2 linked regions of the Macaca mulatta genome follow. Each later gene encodes a partner of the first gene's protein in a complex. Links are inferred from orthologs where the notes say so. Each region holds a gene or a part of one and is shown on either strand. Other genes may lie near its edges. The genes, in order: GTF2E2 and POLR2C.

The links.
Region 2: GTF2E2 (region 1) and POLR2C share a complex: the UniProt entries of both Homo sapiens proteins name them as parts of the TBP-based Pol II pre-initiation complex. The link is inferred for Macaca mulatta from reciprocal best matches to the Homo sapiens genes GTF2E2 and POLR2C.

The regions. Positions count from the first base shown.
Region 1 is NC_133413.1:32,389,881-32,393,691, reverse strand, and holds part of GTF2E2 (transcription initiation factor IIE subunit beta), read left to right. Parts: intron 1-986; coding exon 987-1,169; intron 1,170-3,811. UniProt on the Homo sapiens protein: Recruits TFIIH to the initiation complex and stimulates the RNA polymerase II C-terminal domain kinase and DNA-dependent ATPase activities of TFIIH. Both TFIIH and TFIIE are required for promoter clearance by RNA polymerase.
Region 2 is NC_133425.1:53,058,612-53,062,925, reverse strand, and holds the start of POLR2C (DNA-directed RNA polymerase II subunit RPB3), read right to left. Parts: upstream 2,970-4,314; 5' UTR 2,917-2,969; coding exon 2,831-2,916; intron 2,622-2,830; coding exon 2,572-2,621; intron 1-2,571. UniProt on the Homo sapiens protein: Core component of RNA polymerase II (Pol II), a DNA-dependent RNA polymerase which synthesizes mRNA precursors and many functional non-coding RNAs using the four ribonucleoside triphosphates as substrates.

The sequences.
Region 1 (3,811 bases):
TTCAGGGTCAGGCTGGCAGCTGCAGAAGAAAATATATAGGGTTGCTCTTTTTGAAGAGCTTTCCTTCTGATACTAGCTGTACAACAGAACTGACTAGAAACATAATTATATTCAGTAATTCCTGCATTCCTACTCAGTTTCATTCTCAAGCTGACATAGGTAAAGTTCTTGTATGCACTAGTCTGGTCCTTTTCAGTTCGTTACACAGCTGCCAGTGCCAGTTGATAGCAGATGGGGAAGACCATTGACTAGTACGGGTAATGTCTCTCACTTTGTAATGCCAATATGTGATAAGCTATACTTTGCAGGCGGAGTGGGCACTACTCAGTTCACTAGGTGTTTTATTGATTTCTACCCATTTTGACTTCTAGAAGAATATGGATTCAGCTTTTTTCAAAGTAGTTGTGATAAAATAGTTTATTTCTCCTCAAAGAATTTATGTAAATAAAACACAGTTTCTTTTATAAAAAGTGAACACCATGCTGATCTACTCTTCTGGAATCCTGGATGTCCAGGATGTTAGGCCTGCCAGTTTGTGTTCATAAGGTACTTTTAATTTGCCACTGTATTGGCTGGTGTTGTATTTTAAAATAATTAGTAGAATTAAGAATGTATATATGGGCTGGGCGCAGTGGCTCATGCCTATAATCCCAGAACTTTGGGAGGCCGAGGCAGGTGGATCACCTGAGGTCAGAAGTTCAAGACCAGCCTGGCCAACATGTTGAAACCCTGTCTCTACTAAAAATACAAAAATTAGCTGGGTGTGGTGGTACGCGCCTGTAGTCCCAGGTGCTGAGAGGGAGGGAGGCAGGAGAGGGAGGCTAAGGCAGGAGAATCGCTTGAACCCAGAAGGTGGAGGTTGCACTGAGCTGAGATCACGCCACTGCATTCCAGCCTGGGCAACAGAGCAAGACTCGTTTAAAAAAAAAAAAGAACGTATTTATGTTTCCATTTGTTAATATACTCCAATTGTATCACTGTTACAGGCTTTAGTCAACAATCCCAAAATTGAAGTAATAGATGGGAAGTATGCTTTCAAGCCCAAGTACAACGTGAGAGATAAGAAGGCCCTACTTAGGCTCTTAGATCAGCATGACCAGCGAGGATTAGGAGGGATTCTTTTAGAAGACATCGAAGAAGCACTGCCCAATTCCCAGAAAGCTGTCAAGGTAATCTCTCTCTTCTTTCTGTGTCTTAATGTAATTTGAATGAATAATGACTTCTTGGTTCTAGAAATATCAAACATTTTACAATTGTTTTTAAAGCTTCCATTATATACACATGGGGTTACAGTGAGCCACTTGAAGGTTTGAAATTTGTCTTGTGTCACCAAGCAGGAAAGGGAGCAGCCATCTCTGTGTAACTTTGACGGGTTCCTGTTGCTGTTGCTATATGATTGTTTGATTGTTCAGGATATTTCTGGAAAATTTTCCTCAAAGGCAGTAGAGTTTCTCTTGTAAGCTGTGTTTGTAAATAAGAGTGTCTTCTATAATAGTAGTAGATGTTCCTTACCTGAGGAACTAGAGGCATTAAAACACAAAAGTATTGATTAATAACCTGGCTATTTTGAAGTCCTAAAGGGGCTACCTATGAAAGTCCTACTGGTACAGATTACATTTCCAATTTAAATTTGAAACTCACTGGGGAAAGCTGCTTGTTTTCATTTGTCACAATTGCTAAGGATTAATGTTAACTTATCAAGCAGGTTCATTCATTTGCTATTAGAAGAAAACTTGGCCTTTTCTCTCCTCTGCTTCTTGGTAATGGAATTATACATGTCACATCTTCTGGTTTTGTACCACAAGTCCTTGAGGCTCTCTTTATTTATTTCAGTTTTTTTTTTTCCTGTTCTGTTAATCCATTGTCAAGTTCACTCACTTTTCTTCTTCACTTCCAACTTGTTAAGCCCAGTTGGTGAATTTTTTTAGTTGTATTTTTCAGTTCTAGCCTTTCTTTTTAAATTGTTCTTCTGGTTTCTGTTTCTTTGCTGAATTTCGTTTTCTTTTTTTTTTTTTTCCATTCGTGACAGGTATCTTTTGTTACACCCTTGAGTATGATTTCTTATAGCTGTTTTAAAATTCTTATTCTAACAGCTGAGTCATCTTAGAGCTGGTCTGCAGTGACTGTCTCTTTTATGGGTCATATTTTCCTGTTTCTTCATATATCTAATACATTTCTGTGGGTCTTAGACCTTGTGAATTATATTAATACGTGTAAAGACTCAGGATTCTGTTACATTCCTCCAAAGAGTGTTTTTATTTGTTTTGTTTTGTGGTTAAGTGGGCAGTTACTCCAAACCTTGTCTACCCTACAGCAGGTAGCATATGATATGTCTCTTCTGTTCTTTTAGCCTTAGCCCTTTTGCTCGGAATCTTTTTCCATTCATGCATAGCCCAGGGTAGCTAGGCTGACTTTTTCCAAGGTTTCCTTTTTCACTTTCCAGTTGCTGTGGTTGCCCCACGCTCTGTTTCCTGGTTCTTCAATGCAGAAACACTGAGGATTAGCTAAAACACTGAGTTTTAGCTTCACAGGGCACTGACTGTGGCCTGCCCTCGGTGCTCTTTCTGAGTATAGACCCCCCCCCCCCTTTTTGCCTGTTTTCTTTTGGTTGCTTTTCAGTTCCTTTAGGTAGTTGGATTTTTTTTTTTTTTTTTAAATCGGAATTTCACTCTTGTTGCCCAGGCTGGAGTGCAATGGCACGATCTCAGCTCACCACAGCCTCCGTCTCCTGGGTTCTAGTGATTCTCCTGCCTCAGCCTCCTGAATAGCTGGGATTACAGGCATGCATCACCACACCCAGCTAATTTTGTTGTCAGGCTGGTCTCCAACTCCCAACCTCAGGTGATCTGCCCGCCTGAGCTTCCCAAAGTTCTGGGATTACAGGTGTGAGCTACCACGCCCGGCCTAGGTAGTTGATTTTTAAAATGTCTTGTCCAGAGTTGATAGTGTTTTCTGTGGGAGGTTGGGTCCTTTAGGAGCTACTTGGTCATTATCAGAAGCAGGGCCCTCCTAAGATTTTTAACTTAAAAGTGTCTCAGCTTAACCTGCACAAATGTTGTCAATAAAGACATGTCACCAAAGTTGATACTTTGTGTGCTGTATAGTGTGTTGAATTCAGTGGGACTACTGAATCCTAGACTAACAGTTGAGTGCTAGGTGTGTTTCCTGCATGGCTGTTTTCTCCCATTTTGGTAGGGGCTTTCCTGTTACTATATGTGGTAGGCTTTTCATTACATTTTAAACTACAACAGTGCCATAATCTGATAATGGCTTAGTCCATCTTAAATAATTTTGTGATGTAAATTTAGTTTGACATCTGTCTTTACTGGCTCTGTTCCCTTACTTAGAATTAGAGTAGAAGGGTTATGAAAGCACACAGTCGGTTTTCATTTTCAGGCAGGCTTTATTTCCAAATTGTTTGAAACCCAAAATTTTTGTTCTTCTTTAAAAAATGTGAAGATATGTTGTAGCCTAAAAAATTCCTCAAGTAGTTCTTCGGCACATCTACATTAAATCTCATCTGTGTTGCTTCCTCTTCAGTTCTTGGTGGAGATACAAATATTATTGTAATTTTGTTGATCATACAATGCTTTGAAGAAGTGTGCAATACAGCACTAGCAGGGAACAAAAAGGACTGTGCAAAAAGCAAGAAAACAAGAGAATGGAGAAAGCCAGTGACTGTTTCAGATTGCTTGTCCCTCCTTAATTGTTATGTGGGGGTTTTCTAACAAAGTAACTGCCAGTGCAGTCCTGCTAGGCCAGTCTGCATTTGCGATGTAATACATTAACTATAAGGTGATATATTGAATTA
Region 2 (4,314 bases), on another chromosome or scaffold:
AGTATTTCCATGAGAAGCACTTAAATCTGCTACCTGTGCCACCACCAAATCCAAGAACATGAACTATTTGAGCACTTCAAAGTCAGGGAAAACCTCACAGAAGTAACACAGACTTATGGGCCATACCTATATTTTAGGATATAATGACTGGACTGCCCAACTTAGCACTTTTTAAACATTCAACCAACAGACTTTTACTGAATTCCTTTAACGCACAAAGCATACTAAATATAGAACCCAATCCCTAGCAGCAATGAGCAGGTAGGAAGGTAAAGACGGTATTATCTATCACACACGCTTGACTTAAACACATATTTATTCATTCATAAACATTTGCATGGAACCAACTAAATCCAGGAATCAAATGGCATTGGAGCCCAACTGCCAAATGAGGGACACAGACACTAGGAACAGAGGTCGGAAGAGGACCTCCACATGCTAGGCCTCCACCTACTCTGTCCTGCTATGCTTCCCATTGCTTCCCCAGTCCAAGCCAACTAAGAGAACCCTGACCCAAGCTTTTCTGCCTCTTTAATCCCCCGGCCCCTTCCTCCAGCACACCCTTCCCCTCCTCACTGTACAGGTTAAGATCCTCTGTGCCTCCTAAAAACTAAGCCTTGCCTGCCCTCTATGCTACAGGTGTGGCACTCCCTCTCTTTCACCTCCTCTCTCATGAAACTCTCTTCAGACTTCCCTGAAGACACTTGTCATAGTGTGCCTTGTGTCACATTTGTGTATGTTATGTCTATACCCCAAGCTTCAGAAATTCCTTCAGGCAGGTGCTGGGATGTCTTTGTATTCCTAGCTTGGGTGCTCAACATTATTTGTAGAACTGAATTTGTGGGGAAAGAGGCATTTAGACTCAGAATGGCAGGGCTGCATCATGAAGTACAACTCCCTCACCTGACTCTTGACGAAACTGAGGTCCAGAGACATGAAGTGATTAGTCAGGGGGAGGTCCAGCACTCCAAGCTGAATTGAAGAAGTGACTGGGGGGCCGGGGTTGGTAGTGGATAAACTACAATGTTCTCTTGCCTAATCATTTGGCTTGCTTATTTCCTTAAAAGTCTAAATATTTGATGCCACATATTTCTTTTGCCTAACCCAAACTCTCTGGACCTGACTCTCGGAAATGCTTGAAGTATTTCATACAAGTATAATCAATGCATTAAGCACCTGGAGCAAAGTGGCTGGAACCAGACCAGAAATTGATGTTCCCTCCTCTAAGAGCCAACTGCACCATAGCTATGCTTCTCCTGAACTACTGATCAGTCTACCTTGCTTTAGTGTTGTCTGTGGATTCATCTCTCCCCCTGCAACCTCACTGTGGACTCCATGAGGGCAAAAACCATGTTCTCTACAGCTTTGTATTCCCAGAGCTTACCACCATGCCTGCCACTTACATGCTCCATAAATGCTGTTGAAGGAATAGATTAATAAAAAAGCCATCTACCAGCACTGAGCACTCACTAAACATAAAGCACTTATATGGATTACCTCACTTAATCCTTAACATTACCCTGATAAAGATCATTAGTGGCTGAATGTTACAGATGAGGAAACTGAAGTACGCAGAAGTTTAATAACTTGCCCAAGTTTCTCAAAAATAGTAACTGATGCAGCCATTAAAAAGAACGAAATAATGTCCTCTGCAGCAACATGGACGCGGCTGGAAGCCACTATCCTCTTTTTTATTCTCTTTTGTTTGAGAAGGAGTCTCAACTCTGTTGCGCACGCTAGAGCGTAAGAGGCATGATCTCAGCTCAATGCAACCTCCACCTTCCGGGTTCAATCAGTTCTGCCTCAGCCTCCCCAGTAGCTGGGATTACAGGTGTGCACCACCACACCCGGCTAATTTTTGTATTTTTAGTAGAGACGAGGTTTTCCCATGTTGGCCAGGCTGGTCTCGAACTCCTGGCCTCAGGTGTTCCTCAGCCTCGGCCTCCCAAAGTGCTGGGATTACAGGCGTGAGCCCGGCCTGGAAGCCATTATCCTAAGAGAATTAACACAGGAACAGAAAACCAAACACCGCATGGGAGTTAAAACTGGGCACGCATAGACATAAAGATGACAATATAGACACACTGGTGACTACTAGAGCAGGGAGGGAGGCAGTGGGGCTAGGAGTAAAAAACTACCTATTGGGTACTACGCTCACTACCTGGGTGAAAGGATCATTCATATCCCAAACCTCAGCATCACGCACTATACCCAGGCAACAACCCTGCACCAATGTACCCCCCTGAATCCAAAATAAAAGTTGAAAACATTTAAAAAACTTTTGTGACAATAGTAGTGAAAACAGTATTTGAACCCAAGTCTGCACACGGTTAAACCCATGCTTCTCAGCAATGCATACGCAGGACAACAGTGGACCTAAGTGGTCCGTGGGTGCCAGGGAGGCGGCCACTGGGCCAAGGGCACAGGGTATGGTCAAGTCTCCAGCAATGCACTTTTCTCAGCACTACCACCCTCAGCCCGAACCAAGGACTGGAAGGAGCCCCAGGGAGTGTGGGTGGAGAGCGGGGCAGGAACCCGTGGGCCCGGGAACGAGGAAGGGGGGTCGCTTACCTATTATGGGCACCTCAGCGATGAAGACCCTCCGAATCGAATTGGCCACCCTGAAAGACGAAAAGCCAAGAGGCGTGAAGGCGCTGCAGCCTCGACAGGCTGGGCCCGCGCCGCAGGCTCCCAAAGCTAAAGCCCTGGCGCAGGGGGGCAGCTCTGGAAGGACATCACCCCCACTCCACCCCCGCTCCCTGCCCCCGGGGCCCCGGCTTGGGCCTCCCGGCGCCCCAGAGCCGCCAGCCTCTTCCCTCGGCAGCCTTACGCCAGGTCGGTGTTCTCGATGATGAACTTCACATTCTCGTCAGTGAGCTCAGTGATCCGCACGGTGGGCTGGTTGGCGTACGGCATCGCTCCCCGTGGCCGCCAGCCTCCGCGTCAGCTCCGCGGTGACTGCGCCTGCGCCACCGCCGACACCGGAAGTCAGTCAGCGTGGCCTCCGCGAAGACGGCTCACAGCGCCGCCTGCTGCTCGGAGGCCGGAACCGCCGAGCGTCTTCTACCGCCTCCTGCTTTAAAATGTACCGGATTCAGCTATCTCGGAGGGTAGTTTGGCAAAACACGCGTACGTCCTCGACTTAACAGTAACATTTCTAAGAACTCATACTGCAGAAACACTTGCAGTTGTAAACAAAGATACGAGTGCAGGGACATTCATGGTAGTACTGTTTGTACTGTCCACTGATAAGAGACCTGGTGAAGTATACACACGTAGAATATCATGAAGCCCTTAAAAAGAACTTGTACATCTACAGAAAAACAAAAGTATATTTTAATATGAATGCATATTTTAGGAAAGTATACCTGAATTATAAGTAAATACCCTTTCCCTTGCAGTCTCAAGTATGGACCATGCACTTCTGAAAACTTCAGGAAAAGATATAATATTCTTTAACCTAATGCTTCCTCTGCAGTCTGTGTAGCTGCGGTGGGTGAGTGGGAGCTCTTTGTCTCTGCATCTCCAGTGCCTCGCAGTGGGCACCATGTGGGGTGCATGCTCAACCAACAACTACTGAAGTCCCCTAAACAGACTGGAGAGAGTCTCAAACTCTCAATGGGCCTCAAACAAAGTGGCGGCTGCTCCAACAGACAAAAGCTCTAAAATAGAACTTGACAGGAGCTACATTTAAGAGGTGGGAGAAGAGTAACCAGATAAAGAGTTTGCCTTTGCAAAGACTGACACCTCTTCCTGAGACAGAGGGTGGGCACTGATGGAACCCTGCTCCATAGCCTGTGTCATCTCTGTAAATTAAGAATTATGGTTGTCTGCTGAGTGTGAGATGGATGCTATGAAGGAAAAAGGAGAATGCAATGAAAACTGGAACAGCTACTGCAAAAACTTCACAGGATGTCAAAAGATACAAGGAATGAAGAGAGGTACAAAAAAGATCCAGTGGAAGACCCACAAGAGATCTGAAATTCAATTAGTTGCTGACTTCCCCCAATAATATTTAGCTGACTTAGGCAGAAGAGAGCAAAGCAGAAAACAGAGCTAACCAGACATGCAAAGGGAACCCAGCCAGTGTACAGGCTGAGAAAATTACTGGGGCTAAAGAATGTACCACTGAAATCGTCAGACAAGGGCAGCCAAGAGAGCTAATGGTCTGTGGGAAGGCTTCTGTTACCCCTATTTTACTGATGGGAAGACTTGAGCCCAGAAACGCAGAGGTACCATAACTACTACTGTGTACTAGGCAGTGGCAGCGCCAGAACACAGGTCTCCTGGCTGCCAGCCTCAAGCCTCTTCCAT